Rattus norvegicus: one gene and its partner. The protein of the gene in region 1 interacts with the protein of each later gene in a biochemical or structural test. Links are inferred from orthologs where the notes say so. Each region holds a gene or a part of one and is shown in the gene's direction. Other genes may lie near its edges. The genes, in order: Psrc1 and Asb7.

Region 1 (11,259 bases):
GCCCTTGAAGCAGTCACCCTGGAAGGTCCGAATCCAGCAGCTATGTTGACTTCCCTGAGGAGCCCTCCCCTTGCCTCTCCCCACTTACACCCTCTAGCTCCTCCCCCCAAACCACGTGTCATTAGTACAGAATTGCATACAGTTGGTTGAGAGGGATGGCTGCATACTCAAGTGAAGGTCCATGACCTTCCGCCCCATCTCTTCCTTCTATGAGGGAAGGTAAACAGTCCACAGGCCCAGCCGTGATGGTCTTTCCAGAGGATGCACAACAGAACTCCTGAAGACATTTGGAGCTGTCTCGAGGATGATCCACAGGATAGTGGCACAGGCCTTTAATCCCAGCACTTGGGAGGTAGACGCAGGATTTCAACATCATCCTTGGCTATATGGTGAATTCACGGCCCGTGTGAGCTACATATAAAGGGGAACGAAAGAGATGGTATATGTGTGCATGCGTGTGTATCAATGAATGGAAAAGAGTGGTCAGTCAGGTCATAGCCAGTTAACAACACTCACAACAGTAAAGGTTTCTTTCCACTTGAAGCAGGGCTAGGGTGGAAGGTGACTGTGCCCCAAGGATCTGCTGAACTTTTCATGGGCCCACCATTAAAGTTCACGGTCTCCAGCATTCTGAAGAAGGAACATAATCCTCACACGAACAAGATCCCTAGCGATAGGCAATCCATTTTGCACTTAGAGAGCATTGCCCTGAAATCTTTTATTATTTTTACTACCTACTGTGTGCCTGGAAGCATGATTTCTTTGTCAGACCCTTAAATAGCTGTTCACAGTCATCGTTTTGGGGTCGTGGTTGAAGCAGAAAGAAAAAATATCAGATTATCTCAGAGAAGTGATCTTGTGCTAAATGAAGAATTCTTGTGCTTCAGGTGCTGGAGAAATGGTCTATTTGGTGGCCTCTGCAAGTAAGCCAGAAACCCAGCAGCGAGCCCCAAACCCTGAGCCTGGAATCCAGGAGATGGGGTGGGAGAAGAGGCGGGGCTCCAAGCCCATGTTGGTTGGGCAGTTCTCTCCTTGTTCGGCTCGCGGCTAAAAGGAGGCGCTCCCGAACGCGCCACCGCGCACTCGCGGCTCCTCCCGCCACCCCCACCGTACCCCCCCCACCTCCCCCAGGAGTCTTTTTTGGGAAGTGCGCTTCGATCCAAGGGACAAATTTCTCCGACTGACGTCCCGACAGCTCCCGCCTCAGCCCCGCCCCCGTAGACCCGCCAATCGCTGTGCGTTGGTGGCGGGAGTGGGCGGGGCCTAAGAAATTCGAACGAAGCTCCACCCCTCGGGAGCCTATTCCCGGGAACTAGGAGATTGTAGAAGAAAAGCTTCCTGCGTAAACCTTGAGGCGAGGTGGGAAGTGGAAACGGAGTGTGCGCTGGAGGTGTGGCGGGGATGTGGTGCGGCGGAGTGGAAGATGGCCGGGGTAGGGGGAGGAAAATTCCGGATAATAATAAGGATGGAGGTGGAGACTGCCAGACTGAGGAGAGGCCAGGGCGCAAATTGGCGGATTGCAGGTGTTGGGGCACGAGCTTTCTGCCTCTTTCCCTATTATAACCGACTAGTTTCAGGGGCACGTGCTGTTCCAGTGATCTTGCTTTCCCACCACCATGGCTCTTCACCCCAGCTAATGCACCCCGAGTCTAGATGGGGCGCTAAGATAGGCATGTTGTCTTTCAGGTCTAAGCTGACTCGCTTATGCTGGCTGGGCATGGAGGATTTGAAAGAGGGTAAGGAAGCCATGGAGGGAGGAACGAGGCCCTCAGAATCTGTCTGTCAAGAACTGAGAGCTGGCATTTATTTTTCTTATCCCTTCAGATATCAAGTTCATCGTGGATGAGACCTTGGACTTTGGAGGGCTGTCCCCATCTGACAGGTACCAGTCAATTTATCCATTTATTATCTCCCTCCAACAATACATCTTTATCTGTAACCTTTACTGCTAACTTACTGACCTCAAGAACCGTGGTTGGTGATTTAGCAGAGTATAGTATGCTCTGGTGCCCGCAGTCTGGGAGAATTGGGCCTCTAGGATACATCTCTGCATGCTGGTGAGGAGAAGGGAGAGGATGGAGGGAAATTTAGGGGTAAATGTAAACGAAGAGTAAATGTGCTTGGGCATGTTGAGACATGCCCTGCAGACCACCTCCCACCTCCGCACCCCAGGATAGAAGAGGGTACAGAGAGGGAGGGAGGGAGAGGGAATGCAGAGAGTTGAATTTGAGATCATTCTGGTCTACAGAGTTGAGACCTTGTCTCAGAAAGTGGGGAGTAGAAATGAAAAGAAAACAGGAGACGCTAAAGACTTGCAGGGCCTCCCAGAACCAAGTTTTCCTCAGCTAAGTGCAGTTCTAATGGCCAAAACGGAGTCAGGGTTTGGGACTGTCCCCGAGTCATCTACAGGAATGCCTTCTGCTCTCTGTTGTCCAGCATGGTGCCATATTTGTTTTTTCAGTCACGAGGAAGAAGACATCACAGTATTAGTGAGTCCAGAGAAACCACTCCGACGCGGCCTCTCCCATCGGAGTAACCCAAACGCAGTAGCTCCCGCCCTCCAGGGTGTGAGGTTCAGCTTAGGCCCGCTCAGCCCAGAGAAGCTGGAGGAGATCCTTGATGAAGCCAACCGCCTGGCAGCTCAGCTAGAGGAGTGTGCCCTGAAAGACAGCGAGAATGCTGCCGCAGGCCCTGGGAGGCCCAGCCCCAGAGGGAAACCCAGCCCTCGGCGGGAGACATTTGTCCTAAAGGACAGCCCTGTCCGAGATCTGCTGCCCACTGTGAGTTCTTGGAGTGCCCCACCTCCAAGCAACTTAACTGGGCTCCGGAGCAGTGATAAAAAGGGGTCAGCCAGAGCTGGTCGGGTGACAGCTGGGAAGAAGCCCTCCAGTATAAAGAAGGTGAGTGCGGAGGGTGGAATTGCGTGCGTGCACCTACACCAAGTGCAGGAGACACTGAAGGCACAGCGTGGTTCTCTTCCTGGGCAGAGGGAGACAGTTATTCTACCCCTGAGATTCTTAGGATTAAGTAAACAGGGCTGGAGACACAGCCAGACGTAGCCTAGCCCAAACAAAGCCCTGGGTTGGATTCCCCAGCATCACATGACTAATGTAAAAGAACAAGTACATACTGTGATCCAAGACTCTGGAGATAGAGCCAGGAAGATCAGGGATTCAAGGTCATCCACAGGGACCTATATGCCGAACTTGAGACCAACGTGGGCCACTTGACTCCCTCATTTCAAAAAATAGTAAGGCTGGTAAGATGGCCTGATAACACCACTTTCCATCAGGGCTGATGAGCCCTCTCTGTAACCTACATGTGAGGACTCCCTACATAATGGGCACACTCCCACACAGCGTCTTCTGACTTCCACATGCATGTGCCATATATGTGTATGTCACGCACAGTAAATAAATGAATATAAAATGACTTTAAAAAAAGAAAGTAACTGGGTGGTGGTGGTGGTGGTGGTGGCGGCGGCGGCGGCACGCCTTTAATCCCTATACTCTAGAGGCAGGGGCAGGTGAATTTGTGAGTTTGAGGACAGCCTGGTCTACAGAGTGAGTTCCAGGACAGCCAGGGCTACACAGAGAAACTATGCTTAGAAAGAAAGAAAGAAAGAAAGAAAGAGAGAGAGAGAGAGAGAGAGAGAGAGAGAGAGAGAGATAGGAAGGAAGAAAGAGAAGGGAAGAAAGAAAGCGCCTAGCACAGATCTTGCTGGTGTCTTCCTCACAGGTTCCAGACAACGCCCTACCGCCTATCTCCTTTCCTTAATGCCTTAAGGCAGCATACACATCCTGTCACCATTCTAATCCTTTTTTTGTTCCTTGTTCTGTTTCAGGAATCACCCACTTGCAATCTGTTCTCTGCATCCAAAAACCCAGGGCGTTCTCCTCTTGCACAACCAACTCTTCCTCCTCGGCGGAAAACTGGGTCCGGCGCACGGACAGTAGCAAGTGAGACCTGGGCAGCACAGATGTGGGTGAAGCTGATAAGGGGGCGAGAGGAGCTGGGACCCACCCTGACATGTGTATACTCCTGTCTACAGGCCCACCAATCCCTGTCAGGCCAGCTCCACAGTCCTCAGCTAGCAACTCCCAGTGCTCTTCCTGGCTGCAGGGAGCAGCTGCCAAGTCTTCAAGTCGACTACCATTTCCCTCAGCCATCCCCAAGCCTGCCATCCGAATGCCACTCACTGGACGGAGTATACCGGCTGGCAAAGGTGCCCTAGCTCCTGATCCTCTCCCAACTCAGAAAGGGCATCCAAGCACCGTAGGGCACAGAGGTAAGATAGCGTGGACGGGCTAATGGTCAGGTTAAGCACAGCAGCACATTTCTGCAGTCTCAGCACTCGGAGCGTAGGCGCCAGAGAATAAGAAGTTCAAGGTCAGCCTTAGCTATAGCAAACCATGTCTCAAGAGAGAAAGAAAAAAAAAATTAGAGGTAGGCATGATGGTCCATGCCTGTAGTCCCAGCACTTGGGAGGCAGAGGCAGATTTGTAAGTTCAGGACCAGTCTGGTATACAGAGTGAGTTCCAGGACAGCCATAGCTATTATAGGGAGATCCTGTCTCAAAAATCAAGGAAACAAAATGAAACAGAGGACCTTAGATAGAAGAATGTCTGCTGTGACCCAGCTTGACCTTACCCCCCTACAGCTTAACTGCTGTGACACTACTTCAGCTAGGAAAACTGAAGGAGGGAGCACCTTGCTTTCCACGTAGCTCCCAGTTTTATCTTGGTTAGGAAGTGCATAACTTCATCCAGTCTTTCCTTCTGATGAGGTCAGCTGAGCTTGGCTCTGACTCATCTCTTGTTAATCCCCCTCAAGCTCCTGTTTCCCAGCGAACAAATCTTCCAACCATTGGTGCTGCTCGAGGCAGGACCTCCAGTGCCGCTCGAGGCAGGGTGCAGCCCCTCAGGAAAGCTGCAGTCCCTGGACCCACGAGGTAAGACTGGTTCCTCTGTTCTCATCGCCCCAGCTTCCAAGCTGCTATGCAGCATCCTTGGATTTTGTGTGGAGTGGGGAAGAGAGGGGAGAGGGCACTGCTCTCCCCCATCCTGAGGGGTGTGACCTTGGCTGGGTACCAGATAGGCTCAAGAGGAAGAAGGTGTCCTAAAGCAGACCCCTCTCTGTCTTCAGGTAAGAAGATCAGGGCAGCAAACAAAGACTGAAAAGCAAGCCACTACATCTTAGCCATCAAAGGCTGGACTCTCCTGCCAGCGGTCCCTAACTCCAGTGATTCGTGCCCAGAGATGGGAGGAAGAGGTGCCTCCAAGGCTGATCTCTGAAGTAGAGACCATGGAGGTGGGGTGGGTGGAACTTGAGAAGACTCAAATCCCCCACACACACCCCTGACCCTGCCTGAAGGAAGAAGGGAGAGGCAGAGGTCACACACATACCCACCCCCCACCCCCGTGAAGAAATTCACAAACAAAATGATGAATGCAGGCAGAGTGACCTATCTGCCTCCTTCCATCTTGTGGTCAGGCCTAGAGAGCTTGACCTTCTGCCCAGACCACTGGCTGTTTCCATAGAAGTGGCCTTAGGAACCGGCCAGTCTTCCTGGGCTCTAGGACAGGTCTTCCTGACTGGCTTCCTTCACTGGATTCTGGCTTGTTTGGAAAGGCCAGAGGGCAGCTGGTGTGCAGAACTTGTTTCCTATGAATTCTGTGACCTCTCACAGGCCAATCAGTTATAAGCTCACATCTTCATATTTTTTCTTAAATAAAATGAATTAAAAATGTTTTTCTTTATACCTAAAAGTAGATTTTAACATTTTTTAAAGTAAACATCTGTGTAATTCTAGTGAGACCTCCCCCAGACATAGACCCTAGGGCTTTCAACCTCCAGCTCATCCAGCTGTGACTAGTCCCTTGTTGCCATTTGATCCGGTTCAAGCCTCCTTTCTGCAGTTTAATGTCTACAGATAGTCCAGCTCAAAGTTGACTGTAGCTTCATCTACAGCGCCTGAGGCTGTTAGGCTGGGAACTAAGTCTACTGTTACTCCTATCTTAAACTTCACTATTATTTCTAACAAGACAGTGGAACCCCTTGGGGGATAAGGAGGCCCTTTGTTGGTGTTCAGTTTCTGAGGTTGCTTCAGCCGGACTCAGAAGGCCTAGTAGTATCTGCCTCACACCATTAGAGTTGTCTGTGCTCCCTTCTCTGCTCCCCTACTGGATTTGAGGACTGGCATCAGAATTGAGAAATGTTCCCTGTGCCCTTGTCCAGGGTGGAGCACTGAACTCATATAGAATGAGCACATGGTGGTTGGTATTTACTGAAAACAGGACACGGTTCTAACAAGTCCAGCTTAGGACCTCCTCCTGGTTTGTAACCTTTGACACTTGCAGGCAGAGCTAAATCAGCCCTTTATGAGGAAGAAACTCTCCTAAAGGTAACTAAGCAGAGGAGGAGGAGTAGCCGGTGGCTGGCAACTGTGTCCACCCATGCCTGTGCCCATAAGTGCTCCTAGGCCTTCGGTCTTCCCCGTCCCCACCATCAGGGGCCCTCCGTAGCATACCCTCTTCTATGGCTGACCATAAGATTCATTTAATACACTCTTAAGTGCATAGAGACTAGACAGACACACAGCAGTGCGCCTCTGCGTTCCCCTTTCCCTGAATCTGGAACACCAGTTTCTACAGCCACTGAAATTCTCAGAGCTGACCTGTGGGAGGGAGAGAATACACAGATGCCATGGGTTGTGTTTTGAACAAATGTGTCACCAGGCTTTCTTGCCTCCGGTGTTTCCCAGACTCCTGCCTACCTCCTCTTCCTTCAAACAGCCTAGTCCAGGGGGAGGTCTATTGGATGGGCTATAAAGAGGGCAACCTTACCCGCCAGTTGTAGCAGGGTCCTCTTGATCTCCTGGGCCTCCATCTGAGTGGATAAATCACCGCACAGAACTCCAGGAACAGGAGTTGCTGGCAACCTCCCCCCCTAACTGGATCTGTAGTAGCTGCAAGCCTAAGAACACACACCTAGGCATGGCCAGTAGGTGGCAGGTTGGTTTTGTTTGGCTGGTTTTGTTTGGTTTTTGAGCCAAGCCCCTGTAGGTGGTGAAGCAAAGTCAGCCACAAACCCTCGTGTTGCTGCCACCTGGTGGCTGGAGTGGGCAAGGCACGTTCTCTCTTGCTGGGTCAATATTGAGTTTCTACCTCCACCCCACAGGGCTCCCTGGCTCTAAAGCTGCTGAAGAGGCATTCACTCGGTAGTGCCTACCTGCCACAGCTGCCCTTCTTGTTTAGCTACCTGCTTGCCTCCTCCCCTCTGGTTTGGATTTCTAACTTGCTCTCTCCCCACCACACCCCTTCCACTCCACAAGCAACAACAGGAAAAGCCAGTGTTGCTATGCACTGTGAAAAATTGTAAGCACTTTGCATGTGTTAAGTTATTCAATCCTCCTAAAAGCTCAATTAGGCCGATGCTGTTACCACCGTCCTTGTTTTGTACACAGAGGAACCAAAGCTCAGACAAATCAGGCTCCTTCATGTGGCTCATATATCAACCCTGTTTTGTTGGTTGGACCTTTCAAAAACAAATGTGTAAGACTAGAAGTGTCACCAAGCATGCTTGTCCCCAGAATGAGTATATGCTTCATTTCCCCAACAAAACAAACAACACAATGGTCCCCAAGAGCCAGGTGGTGCTGGTACACTTTATCCCAGCACTTGGGAGGCAGAGGCAGACGGATCTCTGAGCTTGAGGCCAGCCTGATCTATAGAGTGAGCTTCAGAGAAGACAGGGCTACACAGAGAAACCCTGTCTCAAAACAAAACAAAACAAAACAAAAAAACCCAAAAAGCAAAAGAAAACAAGCCCCCAGAAACTCTCACTCTCATTCCTTCCTTTCTACTGAATTCTGCCCTAAAAACACTTGTTTCAGCTCTCTGTGTAGTCTCTCCAGCATACAAGTCTGTTATCTTAGGAGAGGGAAATACCCACCTACCCACCCGTCTTCTCTTCCTTCAAGGTCTGCTGATAAGGCTTTAGTCTCTCTGTCCTTGGAATCTTCAAGGTTCTCCCTAAACTGTTTCCCAAAATCTAGGCCTCTGCCCAAGGCTGCTATACAGAAGCCAGTGATGGCACGGTTCCTGCACAGAACTAGTTTATTCAGTAGTATGGGGGCGAAAAACAAAACAAAAACAAAACTCTACCATATTTACAGCAACAATCAAACTGTACAATCTGATGGTTAGTATCAAGTTAGCATCCAGTATCTTTGTATTTTTTTAAGTCAAGTCATCAGTAGTTTAAAAAAAAAATCCAGTTAAATTTTTAACCCTTTACAGGAATTGCTGAGGGGAGAGGGCAGAGGGCAGGTGAGAACCCATGGAAGACAAGCCAGAGGCCAGCCTTCCAGGTGAGGGGCAGGAACACCTTTCCTGCTGAGAGCCTTCACTCTACCACCTGCTCTAAAGGGGAAGTCAGTGACAAGTCCGGAATACATGCTCAGAGGGAAGGGTGGCTCGAGTGAACGGTGGCTGGTAAGAACCGAGGGGAGTAAGTGGAGCAAGAGGAAGGATGGTAGGCCCCAAATCCAGGGCTGCCAGGTACGCACCCAGCCTGGGGGTGGCCACATGAGACCCCTTGGGACCAGACACAAACCCATCCCAACACACACAAAAAGAAAACCAAATAAATAAAAAATATATTAACTCTCTCTTCGCAGGGAACTGGGGTCAAGTAGGGGGACAACGAGGAACGGGGGACCTGGTTCTTTGAAGAAGAGAGCCAATTCCAGGAAGGGGTTAAAAATAGAACATGTCTCAGAGGCCACAGCAGGTCAGACAAAGTGGCATTTGTCTGATTTGGCGGGGAGGGGGTGAGTGGACACCAGAACCCAGACTTGAAACCTGTGCTCGAGGCCCCTCAGGGCCACCAAGCCAGCTCTGTGCTTCCTCGTTCCTCCTGGTGCCCGCCCACACAGCAAAGAAGCGCAACTTAACAGTGACTGGCCCTCCCTACAAGGTTGGGCAGGAGAAATGAAGCACTTTGGGGTCAGCGAACTGAGCAAACACCTGGACTGTAGCACTCGGCCAGAGTCCAGGAAAAGGAGAGGGGCTGGGGTTGTCATTCCCCATCACGGGGGCACAGGTTTCCCCTTAAAAAACGGTTCATGCAGCATTTGGGGGATCCAGGGGCCATGAGTCCTTCTGCCCCTGGCCAGACAGGGCTTTTCAGTTCCTGGGAGAGGTGGAACTGGCGGGTGGGAAGTGCCTTTTTTTCTGTCCTGTCCGTCCTTCCGGTGCAGCCTGCTGGTGCAGCCTTGCAGGGGCTCCAACCCCTGGTGGGTGTGGCTTTGTCCTTTCCTTTTGGTGATGGCAAATGAGGGGCAGGACCCCTAAGAGTCCCTCTCCTCCCAGAGGCACAGCAGATGAAACTGAAGAGAGGCTGGGACACATCCTGGGAGGTCCTATCCTCTTTGGGAAGGGAAAGGGAAATCCATTTCCAGCGTATAAAAAAAAATTAATCCCTGAAGTCATGAAGAGTGGAGATCCTTTTTAAAATTCTTTTTTCCTTTTTTTTTTTTTTCTGAAAAACTTTGTCTTGGAGATGTTGGCCCCCAAGGGTCCAAAGTGCAGTGAAGGGGAGGTTGAGGGGTGGGGGGAGACTTGGCACTAGATGGCCTTATAGGTGCAAGGCCCAGGCTCCTCAGATGGACGGTCCGTCGCTGCTGCTCCGGCAGGCAGGCAGGCAGGCAGGAGGTAGGGAGCAGGGGCAGGATAAAGCAGAAGACAGGATTGGGGCGTGAGCGCAGCGTGGGGAGGGGACGAAGGAACGCCGGCCCAGGGTTAATGCAGGAAGTTAAAGAAGAGAAATCTGGAGAGGCAGGAGAGGAGAGCGGCAGAGAAGGCAGACAGAGGGTTAGCTGGAGCAACAGAGGGGACAGTGAGCAGCTTCCACCAGAGAAAGAAACAGAAAAGCAGCCCCAGCTCCCACCCTCTCGCACTACTGCGGCCGGGCGGCTGCACATAAAGCTCAGGGGGTCTGGTACACCCCCAACAGAGCACCATGTTGTCTGGGCGCACAAGGGAGCTGGGCTCCACTAAGCCCAACTAACTCTTTCAAGTGGCAAGCAGAGTAGCCTGGTGAGGCCGAGGCAGCTCTGGGCCGGCGAGGACCTCTGCAGGTAACGCCCCGCCCCTCCCACCCAACCCTACTCACTCGGAGCCAGAAGAGTCCTCATCCACAGTGCCTGCCTTGATGCTCATGGCGATGGGCATGACCCCATTCAGCTGTTCCTGGAGAGACTGGCGCGGTGGTGGGCGTGGAGGAGGTCCGTTCCTGCTGCCCTCACTGGCGGTGGAGCCCCGGGAAGACCCTGTGCCCTGCTCCAGGGGCAACCTTAGGAGGCTACTCTTTTCGCTGATGGTGGGCAGACACTTCTTCTTGAGGATGCCTGGGTAAGAGGTGTGGGTACCATGAGATGGAGCATTCTAAAATTCCAGCAAGAGGATGCGAGAGTGAAGCAGATGGAGGAGACTCCTCACTAACCTTTGTGAGGTTGGGTAGAAGGGCCCGGAAGGGGTCCCAGAGACCCTTCCCGAGTTAGAGCATCTCCATTCTCCCGTGGCCGCTCTTCAAGGGGCCCACTACCACTATTCTCCTTTGTTGTGGTCCCAAAGTCTCCTGGCCAAGGGACCTTCCCAGACCCTGGACCCCCATCTGTCAAAGAAAGGAAGCCTATGAGTCCCAGAGAGGGTAGACAGGATAGCCAAGAAGCCCTAGCCTCTTAGGCTTCCGTTGCCCCCCCAATGGCTGCAGCCCTGGTGCTGGCCCACCCTTGGGGGTACTGTGAAGGGGCAGTCTCTCAGCTCCAGGACCCAGCAGGCTGTCCCAGCCCTGCTCGCCAGGGAAGGCGGCCTCCTCCTCCTCTTCCTCGCTGTCTGATGAGTGGGTAGAAGCGTAGGAACCACTCTGGTCATCTTCCAGGGACAGGTCACTGTCAGAGTCCGTGTCGGGATCTGGGAGGTCAGGGAGGGATCACAACTGTCCCACCTGCCCCAGCCCGCCCTCAGCAAAAGCCAGGCCCCTGCCCTGCTAGGCATCTAAGGCCTCTGTCCTCACCGTGTTGCTGGGCTTGGCCTTCCATGAATAGGCCACTTGGGTCCCCTAGGCCAGGGGGAACCTGGCCAGGGTTCAGCGTGGACTCCTCCCTAAAAAGACAAGACTATGCTGTAGGGGTCAGTCTGGCCTCTCTAGTGAGATTCCCAGGCCCTACCTTGTGTCCCTTACTGCTTCTAAACT
Region 2 (12,615 bases), on another chromosome or scaffold:
AATATACATGTGCACACATGCCTGTAATAACCATTAATAAACAGAGCTCATAAATTTGAAAAAGACTGAGGAGGGTGTATGGGAGAGTTTAGAGGAACCATAAGGAAAGGGGAAATAATGTAATTGTGATGACATTAAAAATATAAGAAAGTATTTTTAAAAAGGGAAAAAACAAAACCCAGTCTAATAGAAAGGGAGCAAAATTGATGGGAGATAAAAGAAAAAAGTAATTCTTTGAAAAGGTCAATAAAATTGAAAACTGTAGCTAGACTGAAAATGAGGAAAGCCATAACCAATTTCGGGGCTGGGAACAGACTCTGGCCCAGATGCTATAGATGTTAAACAAAATCTAGGAATGTGGTGAGCTTCATGTCATAGAGAATTCCATTCCTTGGAAAATACAAATTGCCAAAATTTTATGTGACCCACAGAAAAAGAATGACTTAGTCATTGTTTATACAGTTGAAAATTTGATTTCCTCTTAAAACGTCTACTAAGAAAGCTCCAGGCCCAGTCGCTTTGCTTGCTCTGTATATTGCTGGCACAAACAGTAATCCCGCATACGTTCTTTAGAGGAAGGGGCGCTACCTAATTCACTGTGCAGTGTGATGTCCTGCTGTAAAACCAAAGCTACAGGCAGAAAACAAGCCGCAGAGCAGCAGCCTTAGGGCAGCAAACACAGGTTCCCAGTAGACACTAGCTAAGGGGCCTTACAGCGTGGCTAGGTAGCATCTATCTGGTAGCAAGGCCAGTAACATTCCAAAGGGTATTACAACATGGCTAGGTAGCATTTATCAGAAATTCAAGGTTTGTTTAATATCCACAACCCTTGAGCCATTTGCTAAATCAAAGATAAGTGCCAAAGGGTCACTTAACAGCCTGTGACAACACTACCTGTTCAAGATGCAAGCAAGACTGCAGCTCAGAAGGGACCCAGGAGAAGCTGCAGCTGGCTTCACACTTAGTGTTGAACAGTTTGTGTGCTTTCATTATTTGTATGCAACATGTTCTTAGTAAAAGACCAATACACCAATTACAGAGGAACAAGTGAAAGCATTACTGGCCAGCGAGATGGCTCAAAAGCACTTGCTGTACAAACCTGATGCTCTGAATTTGATCCCTGGAAGGAAAGAACTGACTCCTGGAAGTTGACCTTCATAAGCAGTTCTTGGCATGTGTCTCCGCAGTATCATACACTAGTAATAGCAAATCAAAAGTGTAAGTAAAACTGTCTTGATGTGTATATGTGTGTACATTTGTATGTATATATGTATACACATCTATCTGTCTATCTATCTATACACACACACACACACACACACACACACACACACACACACACACATAATGTATGAAAACTAAAAGTATGTATGGAACTAGATTGTAGACCAGTATTACAAAACTCAAGTTCTGCCATCAGTTAACATCTGGAGGATGAAGTAGCAGCCCATAATAGCAACAATTTAAGGTTTTTAATAGTAATTTTAATTAAATATATTGTCTATATGAAACATTGCTGGGGTGGATTAAAGAAGTTGTAAAAAAGTAGAGAAGTCTTTGTGTTCATTACATGGAAAATTAGTATTATTTAGATCATTTGGGGAAGTTTGCCATCTGTAAAGTTGGTGGAATTAGAACAGTAAAAATTAGGCCAGGCTTGTATGAAGAAACTAAAAATGTACCTTGAAAATGTATTAGCTGAAATAAGTTTTAGAACAGTTGGAGGAATTAACACTACCCGATATCAGACATGCTGCAAAGCTACAATAGTTAGCAGTCTGGAATTGGCATGGTCAAAACTCTTGTTCAATTGCATCTTTTTCTGTATACTGGGGTTGGACGAAGGGCCGTGTGTATGCTGGGTAAGCCTGATGCCACTGAGCTTCATCCCTGGAGTGCCATTGACATGGGCTTTGATACTTAGCTTATTCTGACCTTGAACCTGTTCCCAGGCTGGCCTCAAACTCACCGTCCTTCTGCCACCATCTTTGAGTTTGTGCTACCATACCCAACTAGGAAGTATTTTTAGATAAATGGAATAATTCAGAAATATGATAAAATGAGTTTCAGCAAAGGCAGGGTAAATCATTGAAAAAATATTTCTTTGTGTTTGTCTAAGCAGAGGGGATAGTGTGTGTGTGTGTGTGTGTGTGTGTGTGTGTGTGTGTGTGTGTGTGTGTGTGTACACGTAGTGATCTGCAGACACCTTAGTTCCTTAGGTGTCCATTTTCTTCTTTCTCACTGAAATCTAGGACTAGAACTCAGGTTATCGTATTCTCTTGTTAAGCACGTTTACCTGTCCATTGTCCCCATGCTCCCTAATTTGTAAAGAAAGTATTTTAGCAAACAGGTAGATAGCCATATGGCAAATGATGAACCTTGATCTTACTTTATACCATATACAAGTATTAACTACTAGTAGATCATTGACCTATGTTTATGGGTTTAAAGTACAGAATATCTAGATAAAGTACAGAATATCTAGAATATCTAGAAGAAATGAAAACTTGTAGTGTTGTGTTGGGCAAAGTTTTCTTTAGCAAAGCAGAAATCTAGGAAATGCTTAAAAAAAGAAAGTGAATTTGATGAAATCAAGGAGAGCCAAGTGTAGATCAGTGGTAGGGTGCTTGTCTGTGTTCAGTCTCCAGCATTGCAAAGATAAATCCATGAATAAGCATCCTTTACTTGGCCCATGTGCAGAATATGCAAACCTTTATAACTCCATAGAAGGACGTCCCAGCGGAAATGAGTAGACACTGACAGATAATCCACAGGAAAGCGTACAAGTAGGCCAGCTCTCTAGATCCCTGAAATGTGAATTGACGGCACACAGCTCATCATTTACCCTTTTAATGGGCAAACTTAAAAGTGGTCCTGATGCCATGGAGCCTCGCTGGCAAGGACAGTGGCAGGGTAGCCACCGACAGCAGGCTGCACAGCGGCTTCTTGACATCAGAGTCCACCATTCCCTTCTGTTATGAAGAAGAGACATGGCTGATAGCATTGCTCCCAGAGCCTCCCATCGCAAATAAGGCAGTCCTGCTCAGAAGCATGTGCTAAGTGGATTAGCCAGTCTCACTTCCGCAGGTGACCCCTTTCTAGAGAAAGCCTACAAACCCAAAGTTTTGTCCTTGATCTGCCTTGTTCCCAGAATCTAGGTAGGAAGTTGGTTGTAAAAGGCATGGGGAAAGATCTGCCTTGTTCCCAGAATCTAGGTAGGAAGTTGGTTGTAAAAGGCATGGGGAAAATTTGAGAGGACAAAAGTGTTGTGAATGTTGAGTGCTTTTAGTTAATGTGGCCGTGTGAATTCTTGGAGCTCATCAACCTGTGCCCTTGATACACAAATCTCACTTCCAGTTGCTAAAGCTTTTAGAGAACATCTCGGGCAGCTCAGTGATGTGTCTCTGTTTTTTAAACACAGTCTGTTTCCATGTTTACATTACAATGTTACCTACCATTTGTTAAAATGGGTCTCTTTGGTGGGCGGAGTATCTGGCAAGGAGGAGGAGAAGCTTGTTGGGGTTGATTATTTTAGGCAGAGCACTCAGAAATCTCACTGATAAAGACAAATTGCAATAAACTTCAGGAAATGCAGTTAAGCGGTTTTTGTACGTGCGTTAAGCATTTCTCACAAACCACTGTCCTGCAGACTTTGTTGGTGCTGCAAGTGAGCTCTCACTGCATCGCACTGACTGATCTGAAGTGCATTTTCTTTGCACCCTCACATGCCCTGTTTCATGTTGTCACCTTTTCCTGGGGACAGCGGCTATAGTTTTTATGCATTATTACCCTCTAGTTCTTGCTTCTGTCCTTTGTTCACAGGATGCAGTTGGTTGGTTCATTTGAGTGATTTGTGCAGAGATGAGTCAGGCTACTGTTCTGTGTGAGAATCTGTGTCTTCTTACTTCAGTGTAGCACTAGAATGTGAGCGGAGCCTTACACATGCAGTGAACATTAAATGTGCAACACTTCGTTACAGCTCTGCAGCTTGACTTGTCCACTAGAATGACTGCAGTGTGTGGGTGAGGGTATTGCACCTTCAAAGGTGGGAGGGAGGGGTTCCCAAGATCGCTGAAGGATCAAGAGGGATTATCTGGAAATATGTGGCCAGATACAGCTTAAAGACAGCGTTTTTTCATTGTGGGGTGTGTGTGGGGGGGCCGGGGGGGGGATATGGATTTATGTATATGCATGCAATCCCTGCTGAGACCAGAAGAGGGCGTTGCTTCCCCTGAAGCTGAAGAAGCTAGTGGTTATGAGATGTCTGATATGAGTGCTGGGAACTGGGTCCAGGTTCTCCGATAGAGCAGCAACAGCTCTTGACCACTGAGCCATCTCTCCAGCAGTCACTTCATCTAGATAACAGCAGGGTCTATCTAAAAGACCCATCAGTTTGGTCTGAGATCTCTGGCTTGTAGTGAAAGATGACTAGTGCATGACCACACTCTTCCAGTAGATGGCAGCAGAGTGCTTTGCATCAGGGTTCTAGCTTGCCTGTTGCATAGCCCTAGGTACTGAATATCCTTTAGTTAAAGCCATGCATTGCTGGGGCCTTCTTTTTTGTTGTTGTTGGGTGGTTGTTATCTGTCACTTTGTGTCAGATATTACGAGGAGCTAAAGTAATAGTTTACTTGTACAGGTTCTGTTTGCTAACAACTCTTTAACTGTAGTTTTCATCCACTGCGGTGTTATTAATATTTCAGCATATCATTTTCTGCCTCACAGCCTCTTGTAAGAGAATCCAGCTGTTGTAGTCTGGAACTAAATAATACGATCTTATTAAATAGTACATAAATATTTAACCACATAGCTTTGGAGTCGTTTCGTGCCTGTGAGAAACATCCACGGATATGTGAATAAGAGCTGAGTTGCGTAAGGAGCATTTTAATGCTTGTCACTGGGCCCACCTGGGTGTTCTCCCTCAACTGCTTTATGCGCTTCCAGAACACGGATCCACTATGTGGGGGAGGCAGTTCTTGTCTCTGCTCCACCTACAGCGCAGGGATATCAGTGGGATGTGAGCCACAAAGTGCTGACCTTTGGCACCGTGGAAAAGCCAGAGTAGGTGGCAAAGGTCTGTAGCTCAAAGAGTCACTGAGCAGATGATTCCTATGAAGTTTTCTTCCAAGGGATCTGTTAATTTAGGAGTCTTTAAAACTTACTTTTTAAAGCAATGTTTATATTGTACTGAGGTTTCTTCCATTTTTTTTCAAATAAAGTTCTTGCTGTTACGCCGCAGGACCACCTGTAACTGAGCTCAGTCCCGTGGTACTCACAAGCATGCTGTATCATGCCGTGCCACTCAGCATGGGTCTCACCTGCTGCTTTCATGGAGCATAGGGCGCCTTCATTCTTTGCCTTCACCCACCCCAACCCCTATGAAATTTTAGAACAAGTCCAGCTGAACACAGGGTACTGCAATTCAGAGCAGCAGTGTTGCTGCACACGCTCCCTTTAGGGCAAGAAGTAGCACAAGGGAAAGGCATGAAAATAGCTGGAGACAAAGGGGCCGTGAATCAGGCCCCAATCAGAGGCTGAACAGTCGCAGGCTGGCCAGCAGGAGGGTGAGGTGCTGCAGGGTCTATCTTTAAACAGTGTTGGTCATCTCCCTCCTCCTCCCGTTGACTTAGGCCTGATAGTTTCTACTAGAGTGTGCTTTCCACCGGAGCCTGGGGAGGCCTTAGCATCACTCATTGCACTTAACCCTTCACAGTCTGTGATAACTGGCTCAGCCTGAGAACTCTGTCCTCATAGAGTTGCTCTGTCTCCACAGCCACTGATGTTTTCATTTTGATTTAACTCTAGCTGATCCCACGGTTAAGGATTTAATCGGAGGCTTCACCGCTCTGCACTACGCAGCCATGCACGGCCGGGCCCGGATCGCACGCCTGATGCTGGAGTCTGAATACAGGAGTGACATTATTAATGCAAAAAGCAATGATGGCTGGACTCCCCTCCATGTGGCTGCCCACTACGGTAGGGACTCATTTGTCCGGCTCCTCCTGGAGTTCAAGGCCGAGGTCGACCCGCTCAGTGATAAAGGAACAACGCCACTTCAGCTTGCTATCATCCGAGAGAGGTCGAGCTGTGTGAGAATCCTTCTGGACCACAGTGCCAACATCGACATCCAGAATGGGTTCCTGCTGCGCTACGCTGTGATCAAAAGCAACCATTCTTACTGCCGCATGTTTCTTCAGAGAGGAGCAGACACAAACTTGGGGCGCCTAGAAGACGGACAGACTCCTTTACACTTGTCTGCCCTCCGTGATGACGTGCTCTGCGCACGGATGCTGTATAACTATGGAGCGGACACGAACACAAGGAACTATGAAGGTCAGACCCCACTGGCCGTTTCCATAAGTATTTCAGGAAGTAGTCGGCCGTGTTTGGATTTCTTACAAGACGTCACAAGTATGTAACACCTACTGCTATTATTGCATCTTTCCCCTTAACCCGCGCCTTCTGAGTTGCTTGACATACTTTTGTAATATGAGATGACTAGAAGCTAGCCATTCTTATCAGTCCTGCTTGGTAAGTAAGACTCACCTATCCAAAACCCTGTTGGTTTACTAAAAGTGGACGGTAAAGTTCAGGGTCAAGACAGACACTGTTTTCAGAGTGAATGGAGCTGAATGTTAGAATAAGGTGGTTCCCTCTGGTCTGAGTGATATCCTGGCTGAGACAGCAGGCTCAGATGGAGAATTAGAAGGGTGGGGTCTCAGATTGCTTAGCTATGGGGACAATTTTGCACTTCCTTACTAAGTTCTACATGAAAGCAGGGCCACTCTGGATTGTTTAGAGGCCCCAGTAAGAGAGGCGAAGGAAGATGTGTGAAAACACTAGGACCTAGGCCACAGGTCCCCAGGCCACACGGCTTACATCAGCGTCTGCCCAGCTTCTGAGAGACCCTTCATTTACACCTTCAAGTGTCTAACTCGTCTAACTCAGCAGCAGCTGGTGGCCACATCGTTTTCTGAGGGAGGTGTTAGCTTGCGTGGGCTTTGCTGCCTTCTCTTATCTGGCTTCCCTGCGAGCTCAGTGTATGTATCACAGGTAAATGTGTGAGGCAGAGGTGACGTCTGTAAGCACCTTTGATTAACTCTGCTGTGCTGGTCAGAGTCTCAATGCCTTTCCCCATATGATCTTGATTACAGAAGGAAGGCTGGCCTCTAATTATCATTTATAAGAGGCCAGTTTTAGTTTTAAGTTTTTAAAAAGCCACGGAGTGGAGCAAGTAAGCATGTCCCAGAAGACATGGAGGTGTGTGAAGTGACCGGGCAGTATGGCAGTGAGGACACACAGCCCTAGGCCCTGAAGAGAGGAACTGCCCCTCCCCTAGGCCAGGCTAGAGCAAGGGAGAGTGGGACAATTTGTCTATGTGCCCACATGGACATAATTACAGAGCCGGGAGGGAGGGTCTGGGGTGCTTGGGTTTTTGGGGTTGCATTATAGCTGATGGGGAAAGCAAATTCTGAAAATGCTTTCCTAAACCAAAAGAGGAACTTATTTATACAGATGGAAGGGAGCAGAAGAAATATTGTTGAAAGAGTACAATTATATAACTGTAAATATTCAAAGTGTAGCGCAACCTGAGGTTAGGGTTAACTGATAAAGGAGCCCACGAGAGGAGCTAGTTATGATTTAGCTGAGGGTTTCGTTCTCAGTCTTCCTTCACCACAGTATAAAGCTGTGTAGGTGACCTAAGTACAGACCAAAGAGTTATTAGAATATGGGGTGTTTTTAGAATGTATTTATTTTACTCAGTGTGTTTGGGTATTTTGCCTGCCTATACGTCTGTGTACCATGTGTGTATAGAATCCAACAAGGCCAGAAGGCACTGGGTCCTCTGGAACTAGAGCTCCTGGGGTTGTTAGCTGTCTCCTGGATGTCAGGAGAACCCAGGTCTTCTGTGAGAGCGGTGCTGCTGAGCCGGCCCTCGGAATGCAAAATCTTCCCAAAAGACAGAAATTCTACGAGAGAGCATAACCTCAGGTAGTGACTGACAGGAACTTTGATATTAAAAAGATGAGATTTTTATGACTTCATGCCTGGGATTTTATTACAGAGAAATTGTAGTTTGGGACAATGGCCCATCTAGAAATCCACCAGCTTGGAGTATAGACTAGATGACTGGGTCAGGCGGCCCCTCTGATGCCCCAGCCACTTCTTGGAAAGGGCCGTTAGCTAAGTGTGGTGGTACACACCTCACTGAGACAAGAGGATTTGGGGTTCAAAGCCAGGCAGGCTGTGTAGGAATGGGCCACAGTCACAAGTCCCTGTCTCTAAAATACAAAATAAATAGAGTTGGTGACCTGCAGTTGCTTGTGCTTACAGTATGGAAACCAGCTAGAGTACAGCACCTGAAAGGGACGGCCTCTGCGTGTGGTTGGTGAGGCTGCTTTATGGAAGAGCCTGGGACCTGGAGGGTTCCCTCCTTGTAAATGTTTCCCCTTAGGTCAGAGAGGGCCTTGCTCAGAAAACAGAGTCAGTCAAAGCTGGGTCCAGGCTAGTAGAGTCAGGGCTTTTCTTGGTTGTCTGGTCCTCACCTGGCCATCTCTGCACGGTGTGTGGGAGGGAACCTTACCTCCTCAGAACCGCTGCTTCATTAGGGCAGCAGTTGGAACTTCCTTCAGTCACAGTTACTCTAGGTTCTCTGGCTTACAGTAATTGCAACATCCATTTCATGCCTCAGTCTGGTTGGCTCTTTTTCTTTGTATCTTGCCTTGTGTGGTGTGGTAGTTTTGTTGTTTTTTTTTAAGCTAAGCATGATGTAAAGAGCAGCAAGAATTCAGGTTAATAGTGTGTGCATGTACACACCCTTACTTAATTTAATGTTTTCTATTTTGGTCCTTTTGAGATGGTCCTGGCTATCTAGCCTGGCTTGTGCCTTGCTATCTGCAGACCTACAGCAGATCCCTGCCTCTGCTTCCCTAGTGCTGGGATTATAGGTTTGAGCCACCATACCCTCACCTCTAATAGTCTTATGGGAGGCTTCCTCTTCATCTGGATGGGCATGGGGCTGTGTTCTACGTGACTGCAGGTAGCCCAGTGTGCTAAGTTCTCCCAAGTCTGTGTTTCTTCCCCTCCTCCGCTCTCACCCTCACCCCCTTGACTCCTCCTCAGGCTTGCCCTCTGCTATTACACCGGAGGGCAGCTGCTACAGTTACTGATGTCCAGTATTGTAGGTGGCCCGTGTCCCAGGCCCGTGTCCCAGGCTGCAGCCCTCACAGTGCTTTCACCTACCGTCTGGTAGCTCTGCCTTCAGTCCTGTCAGGTGAGCTAGGAAGCTGAGGAGGCTGAGCTGGAGACATGTTCGTTCTCTGGGGGTCTTTGCCTTACTTATGGAGAGGATTGGGGGGCTGGTTGCACACACCCTCTTCTGTCATATAGTCACCAGGTGCTTTATTGGTCTCACTTATGACCTGGCAGGGCTTCCTTTGACTGGCTCTTGACTTCCTGTCCGTTCATAGCCTCCAGTGTTGCTGTCTATGAGCCTTTGCTCAGGTAAGCACACTGGGCTGATCCTAATCTCCAGAGCTTCGGATGAAGGTGCTCCACCTACAGCTTCAGTCTTTTTGCTTGCTCCAAAATCAGTCTTAGTTTTTAAGGTTGAGCAATTTCTCTGCCTTATGGACTCAGGAATGATGGCGTCTAAGCTCGATGCCTGTGAGAGTTGGAATGGGTCGTCCGTCTGGGTTTACCTTTTTTTTTTAATTTGAAGTGTGCGAGCTTCCTAGCTTCAGTTCTGTGAGCTGCTGAGGATTCCTGTCTCTCCTTCATCACAGGCTCCCAGCTGTGCCCGTTATCAGAGATGCCATCAAACCAGCAGAATGGGGTGCTACAAAGTGCCACAAGTAGCTTGCCTGTGACCCTAGGCAAGCTCTTCAGCCCCTAGACTCACCCCACAGTGATTGGTGCCCTCCTTGAAAAAATGGGAGAACTGAACCAAATTCTTGCCATTAGCCACTTTTATAGGCAGTGGTTTTCTATTACTAGAAAGGAAAGGAAGGGAGGGAGGGATGAAGGAGAGAAGAGAGAAGGTGTGTGTGGGGGAGGCATTGAGAACTGGGTTTTGTTTATTTGTTGTGTTTTTCCAAAGGATGAGCTTCTAGGAGGCTTTAGGGGCATACGGTCCAGATCTTGGAGGGCAACTGCTTCCAGGTTGGCATGACAGTCTGGCTGGTGTGGCACTGATAATAATCACTGTTTTCATCACTGCCAGGCAACCTCAGTCATGAGTATTGCAGCCATCTACAAACGTCCTGGACAAAGTGGTAAACATAACTGAACTGAGTCTTGTCCCTTTGTGCACATACCTTAGCAATGCTCTGTGGAGGAAGGCAGCTTAGTAGGAAAGTGGCAGGTCTGTCTGGGTGGGACTAGCAGCTTTTGCATGGAGAACCATTTCTCTTTGAAAGATTGACTGACAGCCAAACTATACCGTTTAATCGTGGGCACTTAGCAGGACTTTTCTTAGAAACGAACAAAGTTCACTTGTCACATTAAGGAAAATGACCACAGTATTGATGACCAGTCAGACGTGAGCTTTGAAAAGAGGGGTTTTAAAACTTTTTATTTACGTTCTGAGAGTCTGCCTGTGTAATGATTGTCTGAGACCAGTGGGAATATTAAGAAAAGTGATTTCTTTTGCTATTATATAATGAAATTGGCTAACAATGTGAAAACCTAGTGTGTCATGTGTTTCTGATGACTAATTTATGTTACTGTGTGCATGGGCAAAAGGCCCACTAAAAGTTTAAGATATACCAATGGACTATAATCTAAACGTACAAAAAGTTCATCAATGTATTTCAGATTCTGTATCACCGTTGGGACTGGGGAGACGGCTCAGCTGTAGTGTTTGCCCAGCAAGCATGGAGACATCCATCAGTTTGGATAAGCAGCACCCAGATAAAGCTGGGCACGGTAGCGTGCTCTTGTAGCCCAGCGCCAGGCCAGTGAAGACAGGAGGCTCCCTGGGGCTTCCTGGCCAGCTCCCAGCCAGCTGCTGCTGCTCTCCAGCTTTAGTGAGAGACCCCGCCTCAAAAACTAAGGTGAAGGAGCAGTGAGGAAGACAGTATTTACTGCTGGCCTCTACACACATGAACTTACATATGTGTGCAATACACACATGTGCACATGCGTGTACACACGCACACACACACACAACACACACATACACAAACACACACACACAACACACACACACACAACACACACACACACACAACACACACACACACACACACACACACACACACACACACACACACACCAGACTGAAAAAGAAAAAAGCTCACTGTCTCAAGGTTATCTGGAAAAGGCTGTTCTAAGTATTTCTTGCTTTCCTAGCAACATATCTGAATGAAGCTAGCACACTGCATCAGGCTAGCACACTGAAGTTCAGAGCAGATGGAAGGCAAACATTTGTAGGAAAGGAGAAACAGCACTCTCTTCGAAGCCATCTTGTTCTGGAAAGAGACTCTGGTTTTTGCTTGTTTTCATAAAAATTATGTCAGCTGATGAACTGATCACTATTATGGTAAATATAGACCAATATAACCAACTCAAGCACGAGTTCCTTGAAAGATTCCTATTGTAAAGGTACAGAGGCATCTTTCAGCTAAGCAGTATGAATGGAGCACTGTGGAATTTCCACATTTTCAGTGCTGAGGATCAAAGCCTGGGCTATGGACATAGTCAGTAATCAGTCCATGGCCACCATCACCAGGCTACATGCCCAGCAATACATTCAGGTTTTTTCAAGGTATCTTCTCAGCCTCGTGTTTTAGAATTTGAAGAATCCTTAATGTAGTTTTGATTAAAGTTAAAATCTGGATGAGCTGCAAGCTTGCCTTACACTTGCATGCTGTGGCTTAGGCTCTGGAGAGACCCCTCCTTCCTGGCTGGCATTTATTAAAATTGTGGCTTTGCTGACTCAGGATAAGTGGTTTCTATCCGTTGGGAATTTTAGTACCTTGGATCCTGGAGGAAGTTTGCAGACACAAGTATGCACAGAACATGGCAGACATTGCCAGGTCCCAGGTAACTAAACTGTCCATCCACCTTGCTGGTATGGCCTGCTTCTACTGTACAGCATCCTCCTGTTCCATGGCTGGGCTAGACTGTCCTTGGCTTCACTGAGTTGATCGAGTCTATGCTCTACGTCCTAAGACACTGAGCTGAGGCGCTTGCCTGTGTATCAGAAGCATCATGCACAGACTTGACTCACCAGCACATGCTTTCAGTGCCGTGTGAAGGTAGACCTTGGGTGGATTTTGATTTGTGTGTTTTAAGGAATTAAATAGCTCATAATGCTAAAAGGAAAAAGTGAAGTGGTTGGGAATTGAGTTGTGTAAACTGTTTCACAGGAGACTTAATCTGTCAAGTACTTAAGATAGTCACTTGTTGGAACATTAATCACAGATGTTTAAAAATACTGTTTTATAAATATTGGAGTAACCAGAAATATGTTTTTGTTTAGATTTCAGTAATAGTCAAGTACTATATTATTAAAACACACAGACACACACAAAGTACTATGTTTACAGAAATACGATTTGAGACTAAAAGTAAAAATGAAGAAAAAAAAGAGAAAAAACTTTTGAGGCCTGG

Evidence for each region.
Region 2: of the proteins of Psrc1 (region 1) and Asb7, one has a biochemical effect on the other in vitro, tested with the Homo sapiens proteins (2 studies listed by BioGRID, with this or other methods). The link is inferred for Rattus norvegicus from reciprocal best matches to the Homo sapiens genes PSRC1 and ASB7.

Annotation. Positions count from the first base shown.
Region 1 is NC_086020.1:198,709,234-198,720,492, forward strand, and holds Psrc1 (proline/serine-rich coiled-coil protein 1), read left to right. Parts: upstream 1-1,315; 5' UTR 1,316-1,359; exon of another isoform or gene 1,360-1,401; coding exon of another isoform or gene 1,402-1,523; intron 1,524-1,686; coding exon of another isoform or gene 1,687-1,717; coding exon 1,718-1,736; intron 1,737-1,824; coding exon 1,825-1,882; intron 1,883-2,461; coding exon 2,462-2,900; intron 2,901-3,844; coding exon 3,845-3,959; intron 3,960-4,051; coding exon 4,052-4,288; intron 4,289-4,833; coding exon 4,834-4,951; coding exon of another isoform or gene 4,952-4,955; intron 4,956-5,145; coding exon 5,146-5,149; 3' UTR 5,150-5,759; downstream 5,760-11,259. Other genes in the region: Celsr2 (cadherin EGF LAG seven-pass G-type receptor 2 precursor), read right to left, coding at 9,804-9,831, 10,177-10,411, 10,507-10,677, 10,794-10,976, 11,080-11,168. UniProt on the Homo sapiens protein: Required for normal progression through mitosis. Required for normal congress of chromosomes at the metaphase plate, and for normal rate of chromosomal segregation during anaphase. Plays a role in the regulation of mitotic spindle dynamics.
Region 2 is NC_086019.1:129,641,643-129,654,257, reverse strand, and holds part of Asb7 (ankyrin repeat and SOCS box protein 7), read left to right. Parts: intron 1-5,805; coding exon 5,806-6,411; coding exon of another isoform or gene 6,412-6,419; intron 6,420-10,815; coding exon of another isoform or gene 10,816-10,943; exon of another isoform or gene 10,944-11,054; intron 11,055-12,615. UniProt on the Homo sapiens protein: Probable substrate-recognition component of a SCF-like ECS (Elongin-Cullin-SOCS-box protein) E3 ubiquitin-protein ligase complex which mediates the ubiquitination and subsequent proteasomal degradation of target proteins.